Nothobranchius furzeri: one gene and its partners. The protein of the gene in region 2 interacts with the protein of the main gene of each other region in a biochemical or structural test. Links are inferred from orthologs where the notes say so. Each region holds a gene or a part of one and is shown on either strand. Other genes may lie near its edges. The genes, in order: fkbp8, bcl2b, ppp2cab, probable nuclear hormone receptor HR38 and badb.

What was found.
Region 1: the proteins of bcl2b (region 2) and fkbp8 form a complex in vitro, tested with the Homo sapiens proteins (4 studies listed by BioGRID, with this or other methods). The link is inferred for Nothobranchius furzeri from reciprocal best matches to the Homo sapiens genes BCL2 and FKBP8.
Region 3: of the proteins of bcl2b (region 2) and ppp2cab, one has a biochemical effect on the other in vitro, tested with the Homo sapiens proteins (2 studies listed by BioGRID, with this or other methods). The link is inferred for Nothobranchius furzeri from reciprocal best matches to the Homo sapiens genes BCL2 and PPP2CA.
Region 4: the proteins of bcl2b (region 2) and probable nuclear hormone receptor HR38 form a complex in vitro, tested with the Homo sapiens proteins (2 studies listed by BioGRID). The link is inferred for Nothobranchius furzeri from reciprocal best matches to the Homo sapiens genes BCL2 and NR4A1.
Region 5: the proteins of bcl2b (region 2) and badb form a complex in vitro, tested with the Homo sapiens proteins (5 studies listed by BioGRID and IntAct, with this or other methods). The link is inferred for Nothobranchius furzeri from reciprocal best matches to the Homo sapiens genes BCL2 and BAD.

The regions. Positions count from the first base shown.
Region 1 is NC_091748.1:52,426,555-52,432,875, reverse strand, and holds the start of fkbp8 (peptidyl-prolyl cis-trans isomerase FKBP8), read left to right. Parts: upstream 1-2,775; 5' UTR 2,776-2,907; intron 2,908-3,400; 5' UTR 3,401-3,431; coding exon 3,432-3,657; intron 3,658-3,857; coding exon 3,858-4,027; intron 4,028-4,200; coding exon 4,201-4,289; intron 4,290-4,789; coding exon 4,790-5,010; intron 5,011-5,148; coding exon 5,149-5,321; intron 5,322-5,400; coding exon 5,401-5,478; intron 5,479-6,321. UniProt on the Homo sapiens protein: Constitutively inactive PPiase, which becomes active when bound to calmodulin and calcium. Seems to act as a chaperone for BCL2, targets it to the mitochondria and modulates its phosphorylation state.
Region 2 is NC_091751.1:52,828,766-52,834,152, forward strand, and holds the end of bcl2b (apoptosis regulator Bcl-2), read left to right. Parts: intron 1-3,515; coding exon 3,516-3,653; 3' UTR 3,654-3,753; downstream 3,754-5,387. UniProt on the Homo sapiens protein: Suppresses apoptosis in a variety of cell systems including factor-dependent lymphohematopoietic and neural cells. Regulates cell death by controlling the mitochondrial membrane permeability. Appears to function in a feedback loop system with caspases.
Region 3 is NC_091750.1:60,015,904-60,022,308, forward strand, and holds the start of ppp2cab (serine/threonine-protein phosphatase 2A catalytic subunit alpha isoform), read right to left. Parts: upstream 3,770-6,405; 5' UTR 3,615-3,769; coding exon 3,513-3,614; intron 1-3,512. UniProt on the Homo sapiens protein: Catalytic subunit of protein phosphatase 2A (PP2A), a serine/threonine phosphatase involved in the regulation of a wide variety of enzymes, signal transduction pathways, and cellular events.
Region 4 is NC_091743.1:50,512,285-50,518,534, reverse strand, and holds the start of probable nuclear hormone receptor HR38, read right to left. Parts: upstream 4,019-6,250; 5' UTR 3,882-4,018; intron 2,588-3,881; 5' UTR 2,586-2,587; coding exon 1,749-2,585; intron 1,381-1,748; coding exon 1,251-1,380; intron 1,064-1,250; coding exon 900-1,063; intron 798-899; coding exon 595-797; intron 505-594; coding exon 326-504; intron 246-325; coding exon 1-245. UniProt on the Homo sapiens protein: Orphan nuclear receptor. Binds the NGFI-B response element (NBRE) 5'-AAAGGTCA-3'. Binds 9-cis-retinoic acid outside of its ligand-binding (NR LBD) domain.
Region 5 is NC_091754.1:60,853,469-60,860,022, reverse strand, and holds the start of badb (BCL2 associated agonist of cell death b), read right to left. Parts: upstream 3,925-6,554; 5' UTR 3,901-3,924; intron 1-3,900. UniProt on the Homo sapiens protein: Promotes cell death. Successfully competes for the binding to Bcl-X(L), Bcl-2 and Bcl-W, thereby affecting the level of heterodimerization of these proteins with BAX. Can reverse the death repressor activity of Bcl-X(L), but not that of Bcl-2.

The DNA of each region.
Region 1 (6,321 bases), on a different chromosome or scaffold from region 2:
AGAGAAGCAAACGCGCTGCTGCGGCGTCCTCGCTCTGCCCTTGACTCGATTCAGTCAAATGTTGCTGTTTGGTTTTGAAAACGTTTTTTTTAAAGAATCATGTGAATAGGTTTTCCAAAGGGCATCTTCTCTCAAAAAAATAGTGCATGTGACCTCAGGTTGCAGTTTTTCATATGAAGGATTTCTATTGATTAACGAAAACTTTTAAAAATGGAAAAAAAAGGAAACATTTTAAATTAAAGAGATCAAAATCTAAAACTTACGAGGAAAAACTATTCACGTGCGTGATAGCATTGTATAGTTTGAAGCTCTCTCACTGATCCTCTCTCAGTCCTCTGTGTATATTGATCGTTGGCCATCTCTGTACTTCTATTGTGATGTATAATACTGTACCATTAGGAAGATTTGCTGGTCGGAGGGGGCGGGGGGTTGTGGTCATTTTGCTTGGGGGGAGGGGGGTTTAAAGGATGGGGATATAAAGGATTCTCCAATCACAGTCCTCTAATGACACGGCAGTATTCAATATGAAGCAGTCTGTCTCTTGGGTTTGCTTTGTATCTCATGGTAGGATAGTCGAGAATCTTGTCTTAGGGATTTAGCTGTCTTGTGTAGGTAATAAAGATGTTCTTTGTATGTTTCTTTTTATTGTAAAGTTCTTTTAGACTGAAAGAAAAACAGACAATTTGCTTATAAAAAAGAAACGATGCATCAATAATAAATGTCATTTGATTTTTTTTTTCCCTCTTGTTTGAATTTCTTTGTTTTCCTCACAGCAAGAAAGGTGGGAATTGATGCCGGAACTGATGACAAGGTACTATTCTGGAAGAAAACATTTGATGAAAACCAAATAATCACAAGTGTAGACATGATTTAAAAAAATGCAAATGTAAGCAAATTGGATATATTTGTACCTTTTTAAATCTGCTATTTATGACAGGTCTATGTGTCATTAAGTTTGCTGTTTGAAAATATCTAAAGTAATGGGTTTTTGGAAAATAATAATAAATATATGTGAATATTTCAAATTGTAATTTTCCACACGATAAACAAAAGGTCAGAGATGTTGCTTTAACACTAAATAATTACAGAATCAGGACTGCACCCAACTAGTAAATATTTAAGTGAAACCATGAAATTTCCTGAATTTTATAAACATACCTAAAAGGTAAGCATTAATATTGCTTATATTTGCAAAAAAAAATGGTTTCACTATATGATGTGTAGCTGATTGTTTTTCTAATTATTACTGTCCAACAATTATTCTACAGAAATGAAGCGTGATTTTGTAGACAGGTGGAAAAAAGCACATGCTCATAAATCAACCTACTACTACTATAGAAAAACATGGTTGTCCTGCTTCAGTAAAAAAGGCACTGAATGTCTTTTAAAAACCTGTGTAATCCTTTAATGCAATTTTGGAGGGTTTCAGAAGAAACTGACCCAGAAGCACAAATACCATAAATAATGTTATGTCAACCTAATAAATCCATGCATAAATTATTTTAAAATATTTTAGAAGTGGCTACAATCTTTCTTTTAAGTTTACTGAAACATGTGGCAGCCTAAAGGTGAAACTAATAGAAGCCAAAGATTCAGTTCACGCTGTCAAATGTTTTCAACTATAGAGAAAGGCAATTGGGATTTTGGCGTTGACGCGGGTTTTGAAATTTCATGTTGCAGAGCATGATTAAAAACGTGTCCATATGCTTTGAGAATATTTTATTAACATAATCAAATTGGACAAAATAATGTTACATTTATTTAACATTTACTGCTGGAAATTAACCCGGGCTAAAATAATGCATATTTACCTACATGAAATATGTAAATGTTCATTAGTATGCAATGTCCCTTTACAAATAACAAAAATTCAGTCATCTATTCTTCTTCTTCTTTTTCTTCTTCTTCTAATTATTATTATTATTATTATTATTATTATTATTATTATTATTATTATTATTATTATTATTATTATTATTATTATTATCTACTTTTACCTTTTTAATTAAGGAAAATTACTAGAAACTCCAAACTGCTGTCGTTTCCATGTTAGTGAGGTAAAATATTAACTTGCACCAAGGGGGAGCTCAAGGTTAACAGGAAGCACAGGGCTGAAGTTCGCTTGCTGCTGAACATATCAACACGCGTACTTTTTTTTTATTTTTTGGGTCCTCCGCCTCACAACGACGTGATGGGAATTCCGGCTCTTTTTAGAGAGCCGGTCTTTTTGGCTCAGCTCACCAAAAAGAGCCGGCTCTTTCGGCTCCCAAGTGGCTCCTCACATTTTCTGTTGCGTAGAGTATATTTATAACCAAAAAAAATGCTAAAATATATGTAACATGATTTACTAATGTAAAAAATTGCAATATATAAACTATTTATCATTTGAATGGATTTAATAACTGAACACTTTAAGAAATCTCCACTTTCTGACTGCTGGCGCTCATTTTCTCACCGTCTTTGCCGCACTCTCTCTCTCTCTCTCTCTCTCTCTCTCTCTCTCTCTCTCTCTCTCTCTCTCTCTCTCTCTCTCTCTCTCTCTCTCTCTCTCTCTCTCTCTCTCTCTCTCTCGCCTTTTTCCTCCTCCTCATTCCCTCTCGTCTCCCTCCACCCGCATGTGCTCTGCTGTGTGTCTGAGTCTGATCCTCCCTCTTCCCCGCCCCTACTGCTCTGTGTGTGGACAGTCTGGACACGCAGTTACACATGTTGACCAATTGCCTGTGGCGTTCACCAAAGCAAAAGGGGAGGGGACGGCTCCCAATGACGAGCCGGCTCCCGTCGTTCACTTCAAAGAGCCGGCTCTTAGAGCCAGTTCGTTCACTACCGACACATCAGTACAACGTTGAACTGACTTCACTTTGAGTTTAACGAAGGGACAGCTCAGGACCGAAACAAGCCCACTTGGAGGTTTGTTGTACTTTATTTCGATTAACGCATATACACTTTGACCCACTCTCACTGCATTGACGTGATAAACCCAATGGTTTATCGTATAATAGAGTAAAAACTCGTTATTATCGTTTAGTACCTGTATTGCTTAACCGGCTAATGCTACTTGCATTAGCAGTAGCATGCTAGCCGCTTGGGCATTTAGCTGGAGGAAAACTTGTTAAAACTTCTTGCTAGATTTGTCAGGGCACAACAGTTAACAGGTAGCGTAATAATTAAATTTGCGAAATGTTGCCACATTGTTTGCTAAAATTAAAAATAATAAATAGACGTTAAAGGAGGTGTTGGGTAAACAGTTGTGTAGCTATCATCATGTGACCTATCACAGTGTTTAACGTCGACTTGCACATAGTTGAAGGCTTTTTTTCCTCACTAGGATTCAGCACATACACAGTTTTACTTTTCACAGAAAGTGAATCACTTCAAGCTGTTTTCTGTTTTCCTTAATCAGGTGATGTGCTGAGGACTGAACACGTTTGAGAATGGAGTCTTCAGCTGGACCTCCTGCTGCTAAGAAGCATGGACAAACCTCGTTGCTGGACAGCGGGGAGGACTTTGAGGTGTTGTGTGATGAAGACATTTATGACGACCTTCCTCCTCTGGAAGATGCCGGGGGTGGAAACAGTAAAAAAACAGAAGATGCAGAAAAGAAAAGGGTTGAAGATCCAGAACCTTCTGGCAACATTGATGAATGGCTAGATGTTTTAGGTATGAGGGAAATGTGACAAAACCAGACACATTCTTACAGACAACATGCTAATAGTTTGCATTTGTATGTTGTTTGTATGTTTTCCAAATATTTAGTGGCATTCACAGCAGAAGCTAGAATTCCATTACTGTATAGTTATGAACATTTAATGGTTCCGTTATATGTAACCAATTTTATAAACAGATCTATCTGCTGTTAGGTAACGACCAGCTGAAGAAAAAGGTCCTTGAAGCAGGGAAGGGACGTGACAGTCGGCCTCACAAAGGACAGGTCGTAAAGATCCATCTTAAAACACACTTGATGGATGGTACACTTGCACAGGAGCTATGTGATCTCGCTTTCACTCTGGGAGATGGTGATGTCATCCAGGTAAAGAAAAAGAAAAACTCAGATGATTGGTTGAATAGGTTTTTAATAATATATATATATATATATATATATATATATATATATATATATATATATATATATATATATGTGTGTGTGTGTGTGTTAAATTTGCATGTAAGTCATTAAAGCAAAAAACACTTTAATCTATTTAGGCACTGGATCTGACAGTGCAGCTTATGGAAATTGGAGAGAAAGCACTCATCCAGACAGATGCAAAATACGCATACGGTGTCCGAGGAAGGTAGGAAACATTTTGAAATGCTCCTGAACAGTCTGCCACGTTAGGGCCATTATATCTAGTGTTATTAGTTCAAAATGTAGACATGACTTTCACGTCACAGTTTTCAAACCAGAGATGTTTTGAGGAAATATTAAAGAATTGGACATTGCAGGAGAGAGATGCTCACAGTTGTCCCCGACAGCTGATTGTTGAATTAATGCTTAATGAGTCTGGGATGTTTGTGGTTTCTTCAAAGATTAGAAGTTTTATTAAGCCAACACTTAAAACAATGGTGTGGTGAGGAAGATCAAGCCTGTGGATAATAACAATATCGGTTCATATTTGCTCTGAAGCTATGCCTTTAAAGCTATATTTACCAGTGTGTCTCCTCCTAACACTGTGCTCAGTAAATGTGCCTGCATTTGGTTGCTGAAAAAGAAGGAAACATGACAGTAATATCTGTGAACTGTCTCCTACGGCTGGTGTCCCTGACTCTGTCTCCTGCGTCCTTCACTTCCTAGTCTTGATCCTGACATTCCGCCAAATGCTGAGCTTTCCTTAGAGGTGGAGCTGTTGGAGGCTACAGATGCACCTGACTTGGAGCTGCTTCCTCCCTCGGAGAAAATAGCCCTGGCTGTTCAGAAGAGGGAGAGGGGGAATGTTCACTACCAACGTGGGGATTATGCTTTTGCAGTCAACTCATATGGCGTTGCCCTGCAGATTACTGATTCTTGTTCCAAAGGTAAGAAGCATGTGCAGGAGTCAGGCAAAGCTTTATATTTCCTTCTAAAAGAAAAGATATTAACAAGATACTAACAGTTGATTTTTCTTATTTTGATACATAAGGACTCTTAACTGTTTATCATGTTTCCTTGAGCAGTTGACATCAGCCCCGAGGAGGAGAACGAGCTGTTGGATGTCAAAGTAAAGTGTCTAAACAACATGGCTGCTTCTCAGCTGAAGCTGGACCACTATGACGCAGCACTGAAGTCTTGTGTTTCAGCACTTGAACATCAACCAGAGAATATTAAAGCACTTTTTCGAATGGGCAAGGTGCTCTTTGCTCTGATTCTTTCATGTTGTGTTTCTCAGACTCCTCTAACCTGTTGCCTGCTGTGTGTTTCTGCTTTAGGTTCTGGCTCTGCAGGCTGAATACACAGAAGCCATTCAAACTTTACGGAAGGCTCTGAAGCTGGAACCAAGCAACAAGGTACATTTGGCCTTTTATAAAACGTCTGGTAAACTACACTCACTGGCCACTTTATTGTGTACACCTTGCTAGTACCAGGTCCCTTTTGCCTTCAGAACTGCCTTAATCCTTCGTGGTATAGATTCAACAAGGTACTGGAAACATTCCTCAGAGGTTTTGGTCCATATTGACCTGACAGCATCACACAGTTGCTGCAGATTTGTCGGCTGCACATCCATGATGCGAATCTCCTGTTCCACATCCCAAAGGTGCTCTATTGGATTAAGATTGGTGACTGGAGGCCATTTAAGTACAGTGAAATCATTGTCATGTTCAAACAATCAGTCTGAGATGATTGGAGCTTTATGACATGGTGCATTATCCTGCTGGAAGATGGGTATACTGTGGTCATAAAGGGATGGACATGGTCAGCAACAGTACTCATGTGGGCTGTGGCATTGCAACGATGATCAGTTAGTACTAAGAGGCCCAAAGTGTGCCAAGAAAATGTCCTCCACACCATTACACCACCTCCACCTGAACCGTTGATACATGGCAGGATGGATCCATGCTTTCATGTTGCTGACGCGAAATTCTGATCCTACTTTCCGATAGGGATGTACCGATGAAACGGCATTTGATCCCAATCGGCCGATAGCGCCCCTATCGGTTTTGATCGGACTTTTCAAAATAGATCAAAGCAGACCGCTCAGGTAGGGTTGTCACGGTAACCAGTGTAAACCCCGGTAGAAAAAGTTGACAATAATAATAACCGTCTTGTTTTAAAAAAAACTATATTATCTCGGTGGGTTACCGTGGCTGCGGTGTAGGCGCGGTGACCCTTACCAGCCACCGTATCATCTG
Region 2 (5,387 bases):
CTTGTCTTATTGATACCTAAAAACAGGCGGAAACATTTATGCTAAAAGTGGTTCAGAATGAAGGTTTCTGACATTTTACTTTTCATTTTTGCTGCAAGGCTCCAGATAATCACATTTTTTTTATTCCATTTGAAATATCCTATTATGTTTCCCATGTGTACGTTTTAGATGGAGTTTGACATTTTCTTATTATTCTAATAAACTAATGGCTCTTCTTCTCAATTTTAGCATCTCATTTGCCATTTTAAAGCTGTGGTTCACTGAAAAACCATTTTTAATGATTATTTCTGATTATAATCGGTCTCGCTGAGTTTTTCATGCTCCTACAACTACAATGCTCAGCATAAATGAGTACACCCCCTTTAAAAAGTACAAATTTAATCAGTAGATCAATGAACAAAAGAACAATTTCCAGATTTTTCACAAGGCTGGGTTTTATTGAACACTTGTTTAACTCCATAACATGAAATTAAAGTTAATAATATAACTTAGATCACAAAATCTTCAGTTTTACTGAAATTGGTTGAAGTAAAAATTAATACACCCGCAACAAAAACTACTACATCTAGTATTTTGTTTGACCACCGTGATTGTCAAGGACATCACCAAGTCTTCTAGGCACGGAATGAACAAGTTGGCGACATACTGCAACATCTGTCTGTATAGAATAACTTTTTTAGAGCCTGGATGCTGGATGGAGACTGATGCTCAACTTGCTGCTTCAGAATTCCTCACAGGTGTTGGAATGGGTTCAGATCAGGAAACATAGTTAGTCATTCAATCCCCTTCACCTTGTTCTTGTGCAGAAATGCAACAGCAGCTTTAGATGTGTGTTTTGGATCGTTGTCATGTTGGAAAAGTGCACGACGACCAAGTGCACCGAGTGATGGCAGCATCTTCTCCTTCAGTGTAGAGCAGTACGTTGTTGAGTTCATGATACCATCAATGAAATGCAGCTCTCCAACACCAGCAGCACTCATGCAGCCCGCATAAGGACACTGCCACCACCATGCTTCACTGTAGGCACCATGAAATCCTCACCTTCACGACACCATACAGTTTTGATACCATCAGTTCCAAACACAGTGATCTTTGTCTCATCACTCCAGAGTATAGAGTTCCAGTAGTCTTCATCTCTTTCAGCACGGGCTTCTGCAGTGTGTGCCATATGGTGTCACTCCAGTTGGGCTTTCTACAGCTTTAGCTAACTGCAGTGAACTTGCATGGCGATTTTCTTCAACCCTTCTCATCAGAAGATGCTCCTGTCGAGATTTTAACTACTGTGGATGTCCTGGACGTCTCTGTAAAATGGTGGCGCTTCTTAAATTTTTGGATGAACAACACAGACAGACTCTCATCAATGAGCCAGGAACTACATCTCTTATCATTATGGAGGAAAAAATTATTGAAAATTTTTAAGTAGAATTCCGATTTCCCAGCTGGGAACTTAGTTAGCATTTCATGCTCTTCTGCATTTTGCAGGCCCTTTGCCGCACTTTCCATCCTTCTGCAAAAAGGAGGAAAATTATACAGAAAAAATCAAACCTTTCATTTTGCATCTAGTTTTTAACTTAATGGAGGTCATTTACAAATTTGTTTACATCTTTTATTTTTTTACAGTAAGCAGCAAACAGCAGCACGTTACTCAGGAGATGGACTTGAATAACTCTGATTCATATTAATCATTTTTTATTCAGCTTGGGCCGGCCTTAGAAAAGAAAACAGACTGAAAGAACACAATTCCATTGTCGATTGTGCTGACAGCTCAGTTTTGTTTGATGCCAGTTCTTAAAACTGCTGGCACGGCCTCTGGTAATTAAACATACTCAAGAAGAAACCTGTGTGTGTGTGCGTGCGTGCGTGCGTGCGTGCGTGCGTGCGTGCGTGCGTGCGTGCGTGCGTGCGTGTGTGTGTGTGTGTGTGTGTGTGTGTGTGTGTGTGTGTGTGTGTGTGTGTGTTGGCACCAGAGGGTTTAAACATAGGGGAATCTGCTGATCCTTCCTCCCTTGTGTCACCAGACCCCAGCCTCAGGAATGCTGTGGAACGGGATGGGAAACAGGAAATGCTTTTGTCTCTCCGCAGCCCTTCGGTCTCACTTTTTTTTTCTGTGTGGCTTTTTCTTTCACAAAGCAGAAACTGTGAATTAGAAACATGCCTTTTGAACTGCTAAATAATAAACATAAACATAATTCAGTCGAAGTAAAATTTGTATTCCATTTTTTTTATCCCATCAGATAATAGGATCAGAAAATAGGATGATAACAGATTCCCACGAGAACCATCCTCATGAATCAAGGATTCACTGTTGTTCAGACTCAGATCAAATTACAGCTGAGAACAGAGACATCAGAGCAGCTCAGCTATTAATGTGGTCTTCGTCGCCCAAAAAAGGAAAAAAATTCAAAGGGACCTGCTGGTATTTCCTTCAGTAAACCTCTGAATGTTCCCTCATCGTAGTCTGAATAAAGATAAGCTGCTGGTGAGTGTGTGAGGGACTCAGCACTGTTACTTCCTGTCCAGCTGTTCCTGCTGTCACAGCTTGTGAGCATGCGTCTGCACTTCCTGGTCTCAGACATGCAGCTTTGGCATTTGGCACAGATGCTCCTTATGTTCAGTTACTCACAAACTCACTCATCTGCAGCCGCTGCATTCATGTGTGATCATCATTCCTCATCTGTGTGCAGAAAACATGGAAGAAAATTATGATAATTGCAAACATTAATGTTTTTCCTGTGTTTTGTTTGGTTTGGAGTTTGCATTTGAATGTAAAATGTGAGCTAGAAGGGTGTGAGAACTGACAGATAGTAATGGATCTGCCTATGCACACTCTATTTCCACCCATGCTTTGCAACGCCTCAGGGATTTTTATTTTAAAGGAAAGTTCCACTCAAACTGGAAAAAATACAAAAGACAAACCACAGTCTCCCCATTCTATGCAGCCATGCAGGTTTTACCTCCCTAAATAGTGAGAATTTGTTTAATTTAATGCAAAAGAAGTCACCAAAACAGCAAAACTGAAAATGTAAAAACATTTAGGGACCACAAGGGTCAGAGCATCAACCGATGCATCTGTAAAATCCTGTTCTCCTTCAGGAACTCTTAATATTTGCTGTGCGTCGAATCTGAATACAGAAAAACAGCTGTCGAACATTTTCATCATCTATTCTCGTGACGGGGAACAGAGGAGTCATGAATGAGTATCAAATATAAAGCTTACCTTGCCCCATAGTGTAAATGTCCATCTCTTGTAGAGGAAACATTGTTTCCTCCAGCGCCCGCTCCCCCACATCTCAAGCAGAATAAACCCTGCTGCATGAACAGAAAAGATCTGGACTAAACTGTCTGCAAATTCTGCTGAACGCCAGTGTTGGTGTGTGAACACAGATAATGAGTCACAGTCCAGCGCCCTCAAAGCAGACTGACTCGGGCTTCTTTAGGGCCTTTTAAAAGAAGAAATGCATCAAGAGTAGTTTTCTGTGCACTAACTCCTGCGTCTCTCGCCATTCCTCTTTCAGGGTGCGTTTGTGGACCTGTATGACCGACAGAAGGACTCCGTCTTCAGCTGCTACTGGCCGTCCATCAAGACCGTCTTTGGCCTGGCTGCACTCGGGGCGGCCAGCATCACCATCGGAGCGTACCTTGCACAAAAGTGATCGGGCTCCCTTCACTCTATCAGCTATCAACCCCGTTTCGTAACAGCGTGCTCCCTTTTCCTCTCGCCTCCTGTATTTTTATTCTTTTTGTAAAGATGCCCCCCCTGACCCCTCAGAGACAACCTTCAGACTGAATCTGGCTCTCTTCAAAGCCTCTCTGAGAAAATTCCTTTTCCTGCTGCACATTCATGTCAAAACAGACACAAATCAAAGGCAGCAGAGGGAACCAGGGGGCTCAGCCCGAAGAGCAAAGGATGTCTGAGGTGGAATCACACTAAGTTAAGGAGAAACGAGGAGTGCATGTCTATTTTGGGTTCATTTCATCCTGCTTGCTTGTAAAACTAGTTAAAGCATGATTAGTTTAGACTTTTGCATGTGTGGTTCTTTTTTATTTTTATTTGGAGAGCTTGATGGTCGGGGTGCAGGATCAGTGATGCCAGAAAGTAGACCACAGCAGATCCTCCTCTGCTTGTTGGGGTGAAGGATTCCCCCCCCACACACACACACACACACACATACACCCCATTTGAACTGTGGACTCCAGTTACCTCCCTACAGCCATCCTTCAAAGGACTTCCTCTGCAGAACAGCTGCTCAGAATGTATAATGGAAACGGCTCACTACAAGCAGTGCAGAGTGTGTCTCTACTGTTATGGGCTCCTCAGACAGCTCGGGTGAACTCTTTGCACTGTCACACTCTCCTGACCTGTAAAGGAAAACAGGAAGTCTCCGCTTTCTGTAGCAAAGTTTGGAATTTGTCATGCATGTTGATCCGGGTAGAGAGGTTTGCAGAAGAGTTCTCTTAAACTCATCTTTTTTTCGTTTTAAAGCATGCATTTCTCAAGCAGTGTGATGTGGAGAAGGCCACATGCATGCTATAACATTCAAACACAGCTCTGATGATCCACACAACCCCACCCCCTCAAAAAAACTCTGAAAGCTCTTAGAGCTGTTTTCTCTCTGCAGCAGGTAGTTTGAGAGCTGTCCACACACATCCTTCAGAGACTGCGTTGATGTGCACGAAGAAATCCCGGCGCGGCCACATGTGACTGAGTGGGGTTGTGGCGGCGGCAGCATTTCAGTTCAGGACTAAAAAGCCAACTGGAACCTGAGATGTCCCCATCTCCGCCGTCTGCAGGAGCAGCCAGGGATTGATCTGTGCTTCTCAGCTTGTTTTATTGATGTTTGTCTTGTGTTACGGTCTGATGGGAAAAAAAGAAAAAATCGGAAATGCTTGCAGTCTGAAATTTTTTTTTTATTAACCCTCTGGAGGCAGGCATTGCAGATTTGCTACGTTAAAACCTACCGTACCTACCTGGTTACTCCACAAATGTATTTCATGAGCATTTTTTTTTACTCAGAAGTACCCCTGAAGGACTTAGTTGTTTGTTGAGAGGGTTAACAGAGAAGTGAAAAGTACCCCCTCTACACACACACACACACACACACACACACACACACACACACACACACACACACACACACACACACACACACACACACACACACACACACACACACACACACACACAATATTTTTGCTTTTTTTGCATCACAGATAAATGTTTAAGATCTGCAAATACATTTCAATATCAGACAAATATGGAAAGTAAATAGAAATTGTGTTATTGAGGTCAAAGTTCAGTCTCCTTCAGGATTTAACCATGGTTCTGTCAGGTGGGTCAGCAGCCCAGACCATCACACCTCCACATCCATGTTCAACTGTTGGTGGGA
Region 3 (6,405 bases), on a different chromosome or scaffold from region 2:
TTACCCATAAATCATCAGAGGGGCCTGACTGGCTGCTGCAGAGCATGACTCAGCATGTGGCCTACAGCCAGAGCCAGAGGAAGTCACCATTAAAATAAGACAGGATTTACCACCAGTTGGCTTGATTGGTAACCTCCAGCTGTGACTGCTTTTATGTTTCCGATTGTTTTACCTTCATGGTAAATCACCCGGAATTTGGCCGTTTGCTGAGTATTTTTGTGAGCTGTGTGACCGTGGATCCCTTCACAAACCAGAGAACGAGTGTGTTCCTTGGCTGGTGGCCAGCTGATGGGATAGAAACCCAGACGGGCCAGGATGGCGCTGCAGCGTTGCACAACGTTGACCTACATTGCATCCAAACTCCACGTGTCCCGACCGGCGTGCGGCAGGAGGCTTCGGGGGCCACACTGAGCCACAAATCTCTAAAGCAAACAGAGGCACTAAGCCAGAGAAGAATATTCTAGGTGTCTGGATGAAAGTGGAACACAAACACACAGGACCCATCTTTGAATGGATGAGGCGACAGGAGATAAAGTGGATCTGTCTGGGTTCCTCATCCTAGTCAAACCGTAGACATATCTACGTCTACGAGTTCACGTCGGTGTCATGGCTCATGATGCCGTCAGCACGAAATGGAACATTAGAAAGGGATCTTTGACGCTGCCGTAGTCATGAAGACGAGCTTTAATTAAGTCCAACGTATCAGGTTCTGAGCCAAACTCGTCCATCAACACCTGCTGGAAACCCTCGGGTCGTTTCAGCTTACGGAGAAATCAGGTGATGTTCAAAAAGAGCAGAAACGATACATGTACTCAAAAAATAAGGACTTTGGGGATGTTTTCGAAGCTCGTTTCTGTGTAAATTTTATAATCGCTGCTAAACTAAGAAATCCCTGTCGAACTGGACCCCTGGGTGCAGCTGAAGCTGCTGGTGGTCGCAATGGCACAACTCCATCGATCACTCCCCTCGAGCTTATTTGGGTTACATTTTAAACCAAAAGCCTGATGACTCAGCAGCTTTAAAAAACACAAAGGCAATCGCCTAAAAACTAAATGAAACCAGTCATCCTTCTCAAAATTAGATTGTTAGGATGACATAACGCAATAACAATCAACACAAAAATAATAATAATAATAAATAAAACACCGCACAGGATTAAGCTCTAATCAGAGATTACATAAAGCTGGATGAAGATGTGACCTTCTTCTTCAATCTCTTCATCATCTACGAGAGATGATGATGATGATGATGATGATGTCAATCCAGGTGTAGAAAAAATACCAACAGCCATTACGTAAACACCTCGTCTAAAGTTCCAACCACACCTGCCAGAGCGGCGAGGACGAGGCACGCCCTGCCAAATTCCAGCTCTGCCCAAAACGACGTCAGTCAACAAACCGCGCAAGCACAGAGAAACCAAGTCAGCGTTTTCTGAGTAAGAGCAATCCCATTAAAACGAGCAAAGTGTTTCCACACAACAACTTGGAGCGATAACACCCGATGATGAGGAGAAACTGCAACCAGAAATGATGATGTCACACATGATGACTGTGGTTAAAGGTTAAACTGCTTTAGCCGCCCTACAGACGGCTTTTCTTACTGCTTCTGTCTTGAAACGGGTCCCGCAGAGGTACTCTAGGTAGGGCGACCATCGACACATTACATCACTGTCTGACCTTATGTGATGCCACATGATTGTTGCACTCAAATAGGGACAGAAATCTGAATTTTGCATTTTGTTACGTGAGGCAAAAATAAAGAGCTTATTTATGACAACTAATTTTATTTTAACCGAGAAAAAAGATCGCCAAGAGGGGAACAACACATTTTCTCTATGTAATTAACCAATTGATTCACTAATCTTTTAATTTTCCAGATATATTCAGGCCACCAAGAGCTGACTGAACTATAAAACTTCATTATTTAGCCACCTACTGGAAGAAACTGCAGCAGTTTTTGCTGAGAAAGCTGGAAAGGAAGAAAATGACTGAGAAGTGATTACATAGCACATCACTTTCCTTCACACACACATCCCATAACAGAGATGGCTGGCTCTCTGAGTCACAACACACTGCTGTCCTCAGTCTCACAGTCTGATCTCCGTAGCAACAAAGCTTTGATGGTGCTGCTGGTGATGCAACTCACAATCAATCACATCCTCTGCTATTTTTAAAGTGAGGAGGATGTTGTGTGGGTGTTTTGCTGGAAATTTTAGCAAAAGTGCACAGGAGAAAAGATGGAGGGGTGGATGAAGTGGGGGGGGGGGTTCAACTGACCTCATGGTTGTCATTAAACCAAACATATCCTCCATTTCTGTTGTTTTAAGGACTAAATGAAACCGATCACTTTAAGATAAAAAATAAATGAAACCAAAACACCTCATCTCTTTTGGCGGACGGAGACAAAACAAAGCAGTAATTTGAGTCACAGCTGAGGCCAGACCCATGGAGACTGAGGTCTTGGCCCACGGTGCAACGGGGACATTTTTAAAACTACAGGAAGCAAACATTACAGCTGATCTAGAAAAAAAATGTTGATATTTATGATCTGCTCGAGACTAGATGCAGGTAAAAAGATAAATAAAGCCCATCCAAACGTAGCCTTCTGTCGGTATATTCTGGAACCCTGCATGTTTTATCACATGAACAAAAAACAGATCAACATAATAACACAAAAGCATTATTAGAGAATCTGATTAAAGATCATTGCTGATATTTTCCCACTAGCCCATCAGGTCATCATTTAGATCTGGAAATCTGCAAAGGTTTTTTAGGATGGATGGCTTTAAACTGCAGGAATCAGTGTTGGACTTTTGGACTTGGATTTAGCCAATGCAGAAATCTTACATCTAATTTTTCCTTTACTTATCACAAAGAAACTGGCTTAAATAAATAAACACCAGTGAAGTGGCTGAAAGGTCAAACGTCAGTCTTGGAGCTTCTGTGAGCACAAAAACAACCACATAAAGATGCTTGAATTGATTTGTCAGACTAAAATAATAGATCCCAGAGGCCCGTGAGATCAATTTAAACCTATTTTTAGGCTCTAGTTTCTGCCCAAAAATAGTGTACCGTTTAATTTTAATGAGACAAGACTGTCTCAATGAAAGTATAAATAAAAAAACATGTAAACAGATCATGCCAACAGGATAACTTCACATCCTCTGGAAAAAAAAATAAAATTAATTATCGAGTTCATGTTTGTGCGGCACTGATAAAAATATTGTTTTTAAACATATTTTATCCATTAAGGCTGAGTTACTCCCAGGGTTCAGTAACTGACGCGGATGCTGTCTATAGGATGAGGAGGGATGTAAATATGCTGTGTGACTGGAATTAAGCTAGCAACGATCCAAACAGGCGGCTGTAATTAATGTAGCCTAGCCTAAAGTTATGAAAAAACGCACCTCACTATGAAATCTACACTATCGACGCCATTTTAAAAATGTCTGAACGACGATAGCTGTTGCAGACAATGTTAGTTTTTTTTATAACAATTTATTTCCATCTCACCTTTTCACATAGCGCCTTCACTTGTCCTTCGGATAGCTGTTTGCATTCGTTCAGCTGCTCAATCCACTGGTCCAGATCTTTCGTGAACGCCTTTTCGTCCATTGCTGTTTTTTTTTGTGTTTCCTTACCGAAGCGGCGTGTAGTTTGGTTAAAAACCCGCCTCTGCTACCCGTTTTTTGAGACCCTACTCTTTTGAGTTTACAAGCCGGGCAGAGCAGAGGCTAAAGGACCCTCAGCGAGCAGATGCATCCACTTCCAGATCGCTACGATTTGACTGAAGGGAACAACTGAAGAAGAGGGAGAAGCGCCAGCCGGCGATTCACTTGTATCAAGTCGTTTGTTGTTATACAAAGCAGTTCCGGTTAAGACTTTCTAAATAAAAGCACCACGTCGTTACTGTGAATTCAAATTTAAAATAAGCTACATAACAACCAAATGAGTTTTTAAAAAGACTGTTCTGTTTTTCAAATTGCTTCAAAATGTATCTTAAAAGCAGAGAAGATGGCAGGATATGTGTCAGTAAAGCATTTTTAGATAATTGTCAGAAAATTTAAAGTCTTTTCAATTCAAACTGAAATTTGTACACAGTCTTGCATAATAACTCTTAGTTTATCATTGTAAACATCTACTTTAGTTGTAAACAATATGTTAATCCTTAAAGTGGTTAGAAATTTGTGATTTATAAAACATGAAAAAGAGCAAAATAGAAGAATGATTTTTAAAATTAGCTTTAAAATCTCATGTTAACATTACAGTCACAACGCCTTTTCATCACCCGATGCAACAGATCTTTCCAGTGTAAACATGACAATGACATAGCTTGTATTTATTTATTTATGTCTTTTAGCAGGACAGAACAGTGAATCAGAGTTGTGGTTGTCTAATAATATTGTTTTTTATTTTAATTTTAAATTTCTTTATATATAAAGAAAAATATATGTGTATATATTTTTTTCAATTACATTTTTATAGAGCTTGTGAAGTGCCTTGTGATTTTTAGCTATAAAGGCTCTATATAAAACAACCTTTCTTCTTCTTAATTATGCAAAAGTTGCTATATACCAATTATGAATCTGTAATATACCTTTTTTAAAGATTAGCTGAGAAAAAAGATAACCCATTGTTTCTTACTTAGAGTAATTTGGGGACATACAATAGCTTTTATTTCATTTTAATGTTCCCTTTTGTATTAAACCTTTATTCTCCAAATAAAATCTTACATTTCCGGTCTAGGTTTACGTCCAACTTCACGTACAGCAGGGCGAGCCGATGATAGCAGCTCAGTGATTGGTTCACAAAGCAGCTTCCTCTGCAATTTCATTGGCTCCTCATTCATCAAAGAACAAGTTACAACTCGTTTTAGGGAATACGTCACCGCTGCTCACTCGAATTACGATATGAATTCAGTATGTTGTGTATGATGTCCTTTTATTTGGGCTGCGTAAACAATATAAAAATTAAGCTTTACACTGTGTCCACGTGCTTCAGGTAGTGACAAACACACAAAACAGTCCAACAGAAAAACGGCCACATCTGTAAACCGAGTTACATGGATTTGTGTTTACATTCTAAATGTACTTTGTTGTATCTGCTAAATGACATTTAACAAAACTACTCAGATGATGGCACCATTGTGTTTCTGGAATACTCTCGAAATATCTGTTGCATCAGGCGATGCAGTCCACATTAGATGAAAGGGGCGTGGTCATGGTGCTGTAAACATAAGATTAAAACATTCTTCTGATTTACATGCAGTTTCTTTGCACTTGCTTTTGTTTTACAAATTACAGGCATAACTTATACATTTCTAACTATACTTTAAGCATTATGGTCAGATAAAAAAACAAATAAAATGCATTTATTTTTGCCATATCAATCATTATATTTGTGTGATAAATTGTTTTAGAGCATTTTTTTATGTTTTTAAAATTATGCGGTTTTAACATTTTATTTGTTCATTTTCAGTGATTTTTTTTACGTGACACTGACTTAAAAAATCAAATCAAACAATATTTCCTAGAAAAAAAAACATTGAATTTTCTTGACTTCTTACATCCTTCTCTGATATGTCCATGTTTATTTATGTGGTCAGCATGTGGCCAGCTAAGAGGAAAGGACAAAATACAAAATCAACAAATTCTCTTTTTAATATTCACAATAACGTCAATCACCCCCCTTCGAATTTCTAATATTTGGCTGAGGCTGCAAAGACGGAAATTCAAGTACAAAACAAAACAAAACTGTATTTTCTTTGGTTTTGCTCTGCGGGTTAAGGGACTCTCACCACATCATGGGCACTGGACAATTGATGAAGGAATCGTAAGAAAATAAAGAAAAGGTATTTTTGTTCAATATTGTCCTTTTTCTTTTTGTTTAACTTTGGCATGTATTTCTTCTTGAGATCGTCCATCCATCATCCATCCATCCATCCATCCATCCATCCATCCATCCATCCATCCATCCATCCATCTTCATCCGCTTATCCAGAGTCGGGTCACAGGGGTAGTAGCCTAAGTCGAGAGGCTCAGACTTCCCTCTCCCCAGCCACTTGGGCTAGCTCTTCCGGGGGAACCCCAAGGCGTTCCCTGGCCATGTGAGAGACATAGTCCCTCCAACGTGTCCTGGGTCTACCTTTAGTCCTCCTCCTGGATGGATGTGCCCGGAAAACCTCATCAGCCTACTAAATGATTTCTTAATTCTATAGGTCTGGCAGTAACCGGGCCTTTTTGTTGCAATTGAAACTACGGTCAGCATTTCAAATATTAATCACAGTTAAATCATGATTTAGCTCATTTGGTTTGGAAAGCTTTAATCTTCATTTGAAAACCGCCTTTTGTTTTTACTCAGGTTATTTCTGTCTGATAATGAAATTCGTCTACAAATCGGAAACAGC
Region 4 (6,250 bases), on a different chromosome or scaffold from region 2:
CATAAAAATTTTCTCCACTATCGGTGGAGGAGGGACCAGGTCCTCCAGTTTCAAGTAGAAGATGCGCTGCCGTCCCTGAGTGCACAGAGTCCTCAGCTCGGGGAGTTTGCTCAGTAGACGGGAAATATAGTTGGGGTGTGTCCGGCTTGGTTCTGATCCACTCCCACACATGTGTTCCCGCAGAGAAGTAATGAGATTACTCTGAAAGTCCTCCACTCGTCTGGACTCTTTGAGGCCATGGCGGTCTGCGTGCCAAAGATCAGAAACGTAAATACAAACATCACAAAAAAACAAAAAAACTAAGAAAATGAATAAAGCTCCTTACCGGTGATGATGACAAGTGCTGAAAGACACGCAAACAGGGAGACGTCCAAGTTCATGCGATGAAGACTAGAAGAAAACTCCATGATGGAGTCGATCCAGCCACCAAAGCTGTGGACACACTGCTTTCTGTGCAGGACGGCGCCATTGCAGAAGATCAGCTTGTCCTCCTCTGGTTTTGACCTGAACAGTTAGGAACCATTAGAGTCATCATAGTGCGTAAAGGTGCACACTATTGCAGGTAAATACTCTTTTTTAACTATTCTTGCGAACCTGTAGGCCAGGCGAAGGATGAAGAGCTCCACAAAAGCAGACTCAAGGAGCAGCTCCTGGTCCTCCATGCAGAAATCTGTGAATCCTGGGATAGCTTGAGCCCAGCTCCATATTATGTCCAAGGCACCGGTCAGCAGCTCGTAGAACTGCTGGATATCACCGGCATCCTCTTTTTCTTTCAAATGATTAATTTTCTCCTGGAACTGTGAAGAAAAACCAAGAAGAGTTAACGACGCTTCACAGCTTTGGCCCTTCATCGCTGGACCGGTCGAACCAACATCGAGTACAGCAGACTGCGAGCTCACCTTGGAGAAGTCGAGCTTCTCGTTGCTTGGCTCGGAGTCTAAGTGAGCCTTGACAAGAGAAGCTATGACGTTCACACTGGGAGTGGTGGAGGAAGCCTCGGTCACAGTTTTGGGTTTGGAGGGCAGGCGACCTCTGCGACCTTTCAGGCTGTCTGTACGAACAACTAGGATACCAACATAATTGTGTGAACATTAATTAAACTACCTCTGTACCAGTTTCAGTCCACTTTTTGCCCAACTAGACAGTAAAAATCAGGTTTGCTGCTAAATATTGGTTTCCCATCACTGTCCTGACATCCTGAGTCTGTTGTCATCAAACACAAACTCTTGAATGCTTTAAGATTTGCTCACCTTCTTTGACCATTCCCACAGCAAGACATTTCTGGAAACGACAGAACTGGCATCGGTTTCTCCTCCTCTTGTCCACTGGGCAGTCTTTATTGGTAAGGCACACGTACTTTGCATTTTTCTGGACAGTTCGCTGGAAAACAGAGAAAAAGAGTTGAATGCACAACGATGCATAATAACCCTGAGACAATAAACACAAATCTGACCTTTAAGCTCTTTTTTTAAAAGCAAAAGCTTTTGCTATGTTTTAACCTACATCTGTGAATACTTCCTCATCAAATAGTAACTAAACATTCAATTTCAAACAATACCTGATTCTTTTTTTAGGTTTGGATCAATAAAGATATTGAAGAAGTGAAAATATCTACATATATATAATATTAGTACAGACTTTTAAAGATGCATGATGATATAATTATGATTTAGTGCTAATTTCAGTTGGATTTAATAGAAATGTTCTACTTTTCCCTTTAAAATGTAAATCTACATTTTTTTTTTTACCTTGAAGAATCCTTTGCATCCCTCACAAGTGCGGACTCCATAGTGCTGACAGGATGCGTTATCACCACAAACTGCACAGCGACCCTCGCTGGATCCTAAGCCTGTGCTTTTAGGAGACATCATGGCCCCTTCTAATATTCTGGGGCTTTCCTGTGGTCCCTGTTCCATAGACATGGAGGGGCAATGAACTGGGGGTAAATGCTGCTGAGATGACAGGAAGAACGGATCATCTTGTCCACTGGGGGCATCCTGGTGCTGTCCCAAAGGAGAATATTGATCCTGTGCAGGGTTGACTGTAAAAAATGAGAGTTGCTGCTGAGCCATGCTGTTCTTATCCACAGAGGTCTGGAGGGCCGGGGGAAAGGGGCTGAAAGGGGAATCCCAGACAGGTGCAGACTCTGTTTGAAAGCCTGACGTTGGAGGAGAAGCAGTTCCATAGATGGGGCTTCCATAGTAGTCAGAGCCACATGACGAGAGTGTTTCTTCTAGACAGCTGAGAGCGAAAGATCCTGGGTAGCAGCCGTACACCTGGAGGTCGTCCAGCTTGAAGGCTTGGTTCTGCATCTGTGTGCTGGAGCTCTCAGCTGCTGCAGCGTGGCTGAAAGACACAGCAGAGGTGGGAGGGGAGGTGGTGATCTTGCAGGTGTAAGCATCAAACTCCCTGGTGTAACCATTTCCAACAAGGGTGTTGATGCTGGGCAGGGACGATGTGGAAAACTGGTCCTTCTGGCCAGTGATTTCCATCACCAGTGTGGCACTGAGGTCTGGATTCAAGAGCTCAGAGCTGAAGTAGTTGTCGTGGGGCAGAGATGCAAGCTGGGTTTGTACACAGGGCATTGCTGAAAAAGAGAGTTGAAGAAATTAACCATGCAGGTCAAATATTACTGCAGTAATAAACAAGGACAGATGCATTATAAAAGGAAAGTTAATCCATGCTTCTTTAAAAAAAATGTAATTTCAATTTGATGCAACCTGACAAATTTCTACATGACATTTAAGGTTATGACTTTCTTGTCACAATAAATAAAACGGTTTCTTCCTCTGTAACCATGCAAACAGTGGCCAATGTTAGCACCCTGAATGTGCTCGGTCTCATTTCACCCCGCATGCCATTTCTCTCGCTTCAGGCCCCGTCGGTCCTGGTTGGAAAATGCAGAGGGTGGTCCAGTGGAGCGCTCAGATATTGTCAGATATTGTGTTACTGGCTGTTAATGCTTTGAAAACCTCCTTCAGTGGAGGACAACCCTCTTCCACAGCGGCTGTGCCACAGTGTGCTTCAGATTGTGTTTCAGGGTTGGATGAATGCCAGCTGCAATGGCAAGGGTGATGAAGCACGTGTGTGTGTGTGTGTGTGTGTGTGTGTGTGTGTGTGGAGGGGTGTGTATCCACTTGTGTGCTCACTTCAACATTTCACAAGTGAAGCACAACCGATAAAAATCTGTCGCTTTCAGAATAAAACTTTAACTCTGTTATCAAAATAAAGTTTTCTTAATGTGATAAATATTTTTTTGCTTTTACATTTAGTAAATGACATGCTCCACGTGTCTTATCCAGCCCAAACCTATTTTCTCTACTATAGAAGTCACATTAAAACACCATAACTAAAGCTAACAGCAGCAGTATGGTGTTTGTTTTTACCTTTTTAAGGGTAAGTGACTGTTAACGCAACAAATTCTGAAAGATAAGCTAAGATAAGTACTTATTTTTATACCACATCAATCCAAACTACACTAAGAAGAGAATCTGAATAACATATGAAGATTGTGCCTTTACAAATACTTCTGTATTTGGCAACTGGCATAATTTTGGCAAATGCACACATACAGTTGAGATGGACATGAATAAAGAACCAGCCTTAACCCCAAGACAGTCTTATTGTTGCTTAAATACAATTATTTGCTTCACTGACTGGTGAGTAGCCTTTTTATTACATTTCAATGAATAAACTTTCAGCTAAACCTATAGCTTTAGCCTTGGAAATGACACCACTATTTACACATCCCTTCTATATTAAACAGTTTCAACAATAACTTAGAATACCTTGGTGTTTCAGGTTTGTGTTGCGTTTGATTGCCGGAATAAACATCTGTAACACTACACCTCTCCTGTCTCAGACAACTGACTGTAACTCACCTGTTGCATGAGAAAATCCGAATCTTGAAGTTTTTAATTAATTCCAAAGCAGAGAAACGGATGAATTCAGCTCCTCCAGCTGCTTTCGGCACACACACCCACTCAAACACATCCACACACACTCACTGGGTCAGACCAACGCAGACGGCTTCACACACTCTTGTTTTATTATGACCTCGTCAACAAAAAGGGCGGGCCTATGCCCAAACATGGTGAAACGTTCCGGATTAGCAGCCAATCAGGTGAACGCGTGACGCTTAGACGTTATTCCGTCTGACGCACGCTCGGGATTCCATTGACGCAGGAGCCGAGAATGTACGTTATTCTAAAAATAACCACAGGCGTTCACGTGGGGCTATTATTGAATGATAAAGGCTAAAAATAGCTCAATTTTTCAGTTACAGACGTTTTTGTGAATGGAAATGTAAATCTTAATGCACGTTTTAGACAGTTTGGCGTGTTATCAGAGGACTGAGCAGGAAAATCAACGTTTTGGGGTAGTTTTCTAAGTTTGATGTCTTTTATCGCATTTTAGAGAGAAAGACAGATATAACCAAAGCAATATGAACACACACACACACACACACACACACACACACACACGTGTGTGTTTTGTGCCATTATCTTTTCTAAAAATAGTCTTCCTCATCTTTTATAATGACCCCAAATGATAGGAAACATCTTGATTACATTAATGTAAGACATTTTAAGCAGGATGGCGTATTGTAAAAATGAATATCAGTCAGTACTGGAGAAATATTTATCATGGCGCACATCCAACAAGGTCCTTAGCTGCACATTTGCTGGAATATAGGAACACGTTTTACAATGGTTATATGTCTAAATATTTTCCAAATCACAAAAAAAAATTCAATTAATAAATGCTTTCTCTTTAGTACAGTAGATTATAGGTGTGTGTGTGTGTGTGTGTGTGTGTGTGTGTGTGTGTGTGTGTGTGTTGCAGCTAAGACATGCATTGCAATGCTAATGCAATGCAACAAATAAAGACGTTGTTTCATTTAAATTTTTATTCCCATCTCTTTCTATAAGAGCATCTTTGCTCATAGAAGTATGGTATTACTGTTGCTGCTAGAGTGAAGTTACTGCTGAGTGAAAGCCATCACATTTACTTCACTATTGATTGAGTCTGGTAGTGGGTTATGACTTCCACAATTGTTAGCCCATGTGATCCGGTCTACTTACACGCAGCTCTACCAGAATAAGAAAAGGTTAAGGGGCTTTAAAATGACCGAGAAGTCATGTCATGAAATGTAGCCTACTAGAAACTAAGATCTCTTCTCTGTCTCTCAGAATATGACGACTACACCCATCTGGAGATGGGAGATGCCATCGGTGCTGAAATGTCATCATTAGAGAATCCCCAGTATGGATGTCACCACTTCAGCTGCTGACATTCATTTGTCAGCATCAGTTTAAGCTTCACCTAATACCCATTATGTCATAACATTTCCAAAACAACCAGACAAACTAACATGTCCTGAAGCCTCTCAGGAGACCCTTTTGTACGCGGGCCAAAAGGGTAAAGAAAGGAAGCGGTGTTTCTTTTAGCTGAGAGCTGCGATCTGCCCAGGCAGCCTGAAGTTACAAGAGACTATTACAGAGGTTTGAGCCTAACGCTCTTTAAAGCATGCGTATGTGTATCAAACAGGACATCCAATCTCCTTTTCACTTTCCGTCACACTAGAACACTCATTGCATATGTGAGGAAGTGCAGATTCACATTCACAACATTGCAGCGTTTAATTAGCTCTATCACATGGTTAAGAAAGGATCATGTTGTAACAAGTGTAGCCAGACATACTTTGATTACAGTCTCCTGAAAGTGAATTGGTTTAGTGTAAAATGTGCACCTGCATGATGAACATTTGACACTGTTAGGACCACCAGCCTGGCCTCTTCAGATCCAGGAGCCAGGATCACCCAGCCCTGGTGATCAGCCCAGACTCCGCCCCTCTTCCTCCTCTCCTCCCGGCTGCTGATGAGCACAGCTGACCTGAGTCCCACTAATGAACAACATCTGGGAGAAAAGGCTGTGCCATCCAGCATTCTAGGGGTTTTGCTGTTCTCCAGGCCTTATGCTTTGTTTTAAACCCCTTTTGTGTGTTTCAGAAGATCAATGTGATCGTTTTGGTTTATGTATTGTTTTTAAGGTTAACATCGTAGTTTACCGACTTTGGGATTTTAAAACGCGCAGTGTTTTCGTAGTACGTCGGTTTTTGTTATCAACTTTGAGATTTAAAGAAAAACTCCTTCTAGTCCGGTAAAACTTTTGACAAAGTTTTAACCAGGGGTTTTAATGTTGATAATTTGTCCTTTAAATGTTAACCTTTTAGTCTTGGTTTTGTTTG
Region 5 (6,554 bases), on a different chromosome or scaffold from region 2:
GAACAAAAAGGCTGTAAGAGAGGTAGTTATGGAAGCAAAGACCAACTCCTGATCAACAAGATGATACTGGAAGACAGCAAGGGGAAGAAGAAAAACCTGAGTACAGCATGGATAGACTACAGGAAAGCCTTCGACAGCGTACCACACTCATGGATCATCAAAGTAATGGAACTTCATAGAATCTCACCAACTCTCATTACCTTCATGAAGACAAGTATGGAATCATGGAGGACCACTATGATGCTCACTTATGACGAAAGATCCATCAAGACAAGACCAATAAAAGTGAGGTGTGGTATCTTTCAAGGAGACTCACTATCACCTCTCCTTTTCTGTCTATGTCTAGCCCCACTCAGCACCATGCTAAACAACAGTGAACATGGCTATGAGGTTCAAGGCAAGAAGATCAACCACCTTTTTACATGGATGATCTGAAGACCTATGCCAAAAATGATAACCAACAAGAGGGACTACTGCAAATAGTCAAGCTCTTCAGTGATGACATCTGCATGCAATTTGGACTTGACAAATGTGCAAAGGTTACATTCAAAAAAGGAAAACTCACATCAACATCAAACATACAATTGGACCAAGAGACTGTCATAATGGAGCTCAATCAAGAGGATACATACAAATATCTTGGGGTTAATGAAGGAGATGGAATACAACATGCTACCATGAAAGAAAAAGTAAAAAAAGAGTACTACAGAAGAGTTAGGCTTGTTATCAAGAGTGAACTCAATGCTGCAAATAAGATCAAAGCCATCAACATTTTAGCTGTTCCAACGGTTACATACAGTTTTAATATCATCAACTGGCAACTTAAAGAAGTAAAGAAACTAGACACCAAGACCAGAAAATTGCTGACTTCTGAAAGAATGCACCACCCAAAAGCGGATGTTGAAAGAATGTATCTACCAAGACAGATTGGAGGCAGAGGACTTACACAACTTGAGATGGCTTACAAAACAACAACAATGGCATTGAAAACCTACCTTGAAACAACAGACGATGCCCTACTGATCCTCGTTTGTCAACATGAAGCTCGAAAGAAGCTCTACTCTGTTACAAAAGAAGCTATAAGATATGCACAGGAACTAAACATCCCAGAGGTGGCAAGAATAGAGAAAGAAACAGTGACAAGCTTTGCCAAGAGGACCAGAAGGGAGGCAAAGAAATGGGCACAAAAAAGGATGAGAGAAACATGGGAGGAAAAACCAATGCATGGACAATACCCCTTGAGAGTAAAAAAAGCAGATGTAGAACAAGATCATACTCATCAGTGGCTACGCAGTGCAGGACTGAAGGCAGAAACTGAAGGATTGTTGATAGCAGCACAAGACCAGAGCCTGTCAACGAGATCATACCACCACAAGATCATTAAAGACGGAACAGACCCCATGTGTAGAATGTGCAGCCAATATGAAGAAACCATTGACCACATTGTCTCAGGCTGCCCCACTCTAGCCAGAACTGAGTACATCCACAGACATGACAGGGCAGCAAGCTATATCCACTGGAAGATTTGCAAACATTTCCATCTACCAGCTGCAGATAAGTGGTATGAACACCAACCACCAACAGTGACTGAAAACAACAACATCGCAGTGTTGTGGGACATGCCAATCAACACAGACAGAGAAATCATGGCCAACAGACCAGACATAGTCATCAAAAACAAAGAAGAGAAGACCTGCCTCATGATTGATATGACCATCCCATCTGAAAAAAATGTCACCACCAAGGAGCTTGAAAAGCTATCAAAGTACAAGGATCTGGAAATAGAAGTCACAAGAATGTGGGGGATGAAGACAGCAACAATACCCGTCGTAGTGGGTGCACTTGGCCTCATCAAGAAGGGACTGGAAAAGAGAACAAAACAGATTCCTGGAAACCCAACAGTCCAAGAAATCCAGAAGATTGTTCTTCTCGGAAGTGCCCACATCATCAGAAGGACGCTTTCCATAAACTAACCCTGAAACTGCCTTAGAAGCATGGATTGATTCTGGCACTTCAGTGAAAGCATACAAATATACAAAAAATATATAATAACAATAATAAGAATTTAATAATAATAATAATAACAATAAAATAATATTAATAATAATATTTATAATAATAATAATAAAATTTTTTTTTAAATAATAATAATAATAATAATAAAACCAATAATAATAATAATAGTAGTAGTAGTAGTAGTAACGTCATTATAGAAGAGACTATCTGTGCAATGTAGCCTAATAAAAGAAAGGCAAGTATGTAAAGCTAAATTAGTATTTTACTATTGAAAGTCGATGTTTGTCCAATAAAAATTAAGTAGGAAATGCAAATGAAAGTAATGTTTTTAAAAGGAGTTTTATTCTACCTGCACCAGTAATGGGAGGAGTACTTGATTTTTTTTTTACTTGAGTAAAAGTGCAGATGAACAGGTGAAGAAAATAACCTATGGAAAAGTGGAAGTATCCAAGAAGATAATGATTTAAGTAAAAGTATTAAAGTATGCACTTTCAAAAGTACTCAAAAGTAGAAAAGCAAAAGTCTTCATCTAACAGTTAAAGCTGCTTTCCGGAGTTTTCCTCTTTCAGAAACGATGTATGATTTGTCAGAAATCCGTAAAAGTGATTATCTTATCATGTACTGTGATCAAATATAAGCAATACATCTTTTTTTTCTTTGCTAAGCACGCCCCCTGCCTCTGTGCAATAGGAAACCGAGCACCGACCAGAACTAACCAATAGCGTTAGACTACCGCTTAGACGCTTCACATTTAAGGAATACCTCGGCTGACGCAGAGTTGATGAACTTTTCATCGACAAGCAAGTCTCTAAAATATAAATATATGAAAACACACGACATGAGAATAATACTCGTAAAACAACGTGTTTTAGCTCCGTTTGTCGGCTACAGAAGCACATTTATGAACAGAAACGTGAAGTCGCCATCTTAAATAAAACAAAGGAATGGCGTTTTTGTGTGATACGCTCGTCAGCCACTAGATGGTGCCATCGGATAAGAGAAACACTCCGGAAAGAAGCTTTAAATAAGCAACAGCACTAGCTCAGGAGGTAGAGCAGGTTCTAATTGGAAGGTTGCAGGTTCGATCCCGGCTCCGACCAGAGAATGCTGCTGTTGTGTCCTTGGGCAAGACACTTAACGCACCGTGCCTGCTGGTGGTGGTCAGTGGTTGTCAGCCTCACCTCTGTCAGAGAGCCCCAGGGCAGCTGTGGCTACACTGTAGCTCATCCCCACCAGCGTATGGATGTGTGAATGACTGATTGTGTTGTGAAGAGCCTTGGGGGGTTGTAGAACCCTAAAGGCGCTACACAAATACAGGCCATTTACCATTTACCGTGTGTGGTGTGTGTGTAGAAGTGTTCTGTGGAACCAAGGGGGAGGGGCTAATAAAATTACCTTTGCAACTCCAGTACGGCGTGGTAGTAGAGTACAGGTGGGGGTCGGACAAAGCAAAGTAAAAAGTAGGCCTCAATAAAATTAGTTACATGAAGTACAGATACAGAAAAAATGTACTTAAGTACAGTAATGAACTACTTATAGTTACTTAAGTAAAAGTGGGAGTATCCAAGTACAATGCAAAGTAATTGTACTTCATTACATTCCATGACTGTTCTGTAAAACTGGTTCCTAGTTAGGAATGTAGTCGAAGTGATGAGTCATCCTGAACGCTTTAGTGATGAGGATGTCGGACCTGTAAGCAGGAGGCGGGAAGTGAAGAAGCTAACCAGAGCGATCATGTAAGCGCCTGGGTACCAGCAACGGTCTCAGAACCCACAGAAGGAAGCAGAAGCCGGAGACGACCCGAGGAAACCTCAGGGAGAAGAAGCAGAAAACACGAGAACAAAATAACCCAAAGACACACGAACTCTGAACACCGAAACAAACCTTTGATGCATTCTGATCATCTGATGGAGTTTCGGTCAAATCTCCAAAATGACTTGATGCTCGATGTCAGAGCTTGGAGTGTGTGATGTGAATGACTCTCACACACAGAAAAATGACTCAATATCTGTGGAATCCTCTGAGTTAGAAGCATTTTCATCTTGTTCTGTTGACTGTGGCGGCCATCTTGAACAGGGCAGGACTGGATGATGGTCTAAAGCTGCTAATCTCACTGCATCGCTGCACATAATTTACTATAAATCTGTCATGGCCCTGCTAACGCTGCTGTTTCCTCTCCACCTCTCACGAGAAACGTAGGTTATCCATCCTCTTCTACACTTTAGGTGGGACAGTGATGAGAAGAGGAACAACTTCACAAACACAATTTGGTTTTTCCATCAAGAGGAAGTTCACATTTTCAGTGCTTCCTCTGTGGTTAACTTATGTCATCACTAAGGTCACCATTCCCACCCATCACCCCGCTCTCTTCCCCCCTTTCTCACGGTTTCACTTCCACCTCTCATCTCTCCATCCTTTCTCTGTTCCTTGTATCTGGGCCACTGTCTGAACTAGTTCACCACCCGTTTGCTGGCCAATGGCGTCGTTATTTCTGCTCAATTAATGATATTTTTGTCTGTTTTTGGGTGCGTTCAAATTCTAAATTCATAACCAAGAATAAGGAGGCGTTAAATCTGACTGTAGAGCTTCACAGTGAGTTCCTGTTTCAGCGATTTCACACAAAAACAACAGGAAAGTTTGAAAGTACCGAAGCGTATTTCTATTAAACTATAATGAAAACTCTGCGATGGACTGGCTCTCTGTCCAGGGTGTACCCCGCCTGATTGCCCATTGACCGCTGGAGATAGGCACCAGCCCCCCGCGACCCTACGTGGACAAAGTGGGTTCAGAAAATGGATGGATGGATATAATGAAAACTTTGGTCAGCAAAACTGAGGAGATGATGTAACATCAGCAGAACAATCCACACCTACATAAAACTAATAACAGCAAGGCTGTGATGGATGGCTGTCGCCACGGGAACAAGGTGCAGGAACTCATTTCACTACGATGTATTAGTGCACGTCTTCAAGTGTTCAGCATCTTATCAGCTCAAATCATCGGCAAACATGCAGGCATTTTAAACCCAAAGGTCATGTGCTAACACTGTGTGTGTGTGTGTGTGTGTGTGTGTGTGTGTGTGTGTGTGTGTGTGTGTGTGTGTGTGTGTGTGTGTAAGTGTAGAAGGTCAGAGCTCCTTTCCAGAGTGGGAAAGAAAACACTGGAGATGCTGGTGATGAATTGCTCTTTAGGACCATTTTCCGTGCAGCTGTTTTCTCCAGGCTTTATCCAACTGACACACCGGATTCAAGCATGTGCATGGTGCGTGCACACACCGTGCACGGTGTGTGCACGCTGCAGTTTGTATTTCTGAGCAGAACAAGAGTTGGAGATCATAAATAAGACAAGCTTTTACCCAACAGCCGAGTCTGAGAGTTTGTCTGAAATACACATTTGTTATTAATGTTCTCTGAGCTGCATCTACCGATGGAGACACCAGAGGATCCAACCGTTTTTCCGTGCGCCTGTACAGACGTCACACATCCTGCGTTTCATTTTTTATGATTTTCACTCAGAGCTGAGAGGAAACACACCACCTTTCTGATACCCAGCTGGTGTTGCGCTGTGATCTCGTTCTGCGTTCTGATTGGTTGGCAGGCGGTTCTGAGCGCTGATGCGAGAGACCAAATGATGGTCGTCCGCATTCAGGCAGGTCAAACACTTGGTAGGACATGTTTTACTCTTGTACTAATAATAACTGAAGAGCAGATGGAGATGCTGGAATGAAAAGTTAAACATTCTATCATGTCCCCAAATACATAACATACAAAAGCCTTTTTGTTATTGGTGTGAAAGGGTTAGGGGAGGAGTTTGAATCCTTTGAAGTTGGTTTCTGATGGCTCTTAGAACAACCTCAGTTTGGAAAAACAGAGATTATTTTTTTCTTAAAGCTGGGACGAGTGGGGTCAGTTTTAGTAGATTTCTTGTACCTTAAAGTGACAATGTGTAGTTTTTGTCATCAATCTCTGGAAATATCGATCAAAATATTGTTGAAGGGGAATTAAATGATGCCCAGTTGTTGAAAAATATTGGTGGCTTGGTAACATATAACCATAAAAATCTGGTCTAAATTATATGGGAGCGGGTCCAAGTCACTGGGCGATGCCATGTTTTCTTCTATGGGAGCCCTTGAGGACAAAACACATTTACTGATTTTTAACAAATGGTAACAAAAATGTCATCATTAAAATAGCTTTCCCGAGTTTTCCCCTTTCAGAAATTATGTATAATCTTTCAGAAATCCGTCAAAGTGATTGTCTCATTATGTACTGTGCTATAATATAAGCAATACGTCCTTTATATATATATATATATATATATATATATATATATATATATATATATATATTTTTTTTTTTTTGCTACGCATGCCCCCTGCCCCGCAGAGCTCCGTGCAATGGGAAACTGAGCGCCGACCAGAACTAACCAATAGCGTTAGACTACCGCTTACATGCTTCAAATGTAAGGAAAACCTCGGCGGATGCAGAGTTGATGAACTTTTCACGGACAAGTAAGTCTCTAAAATATAAACATATGAG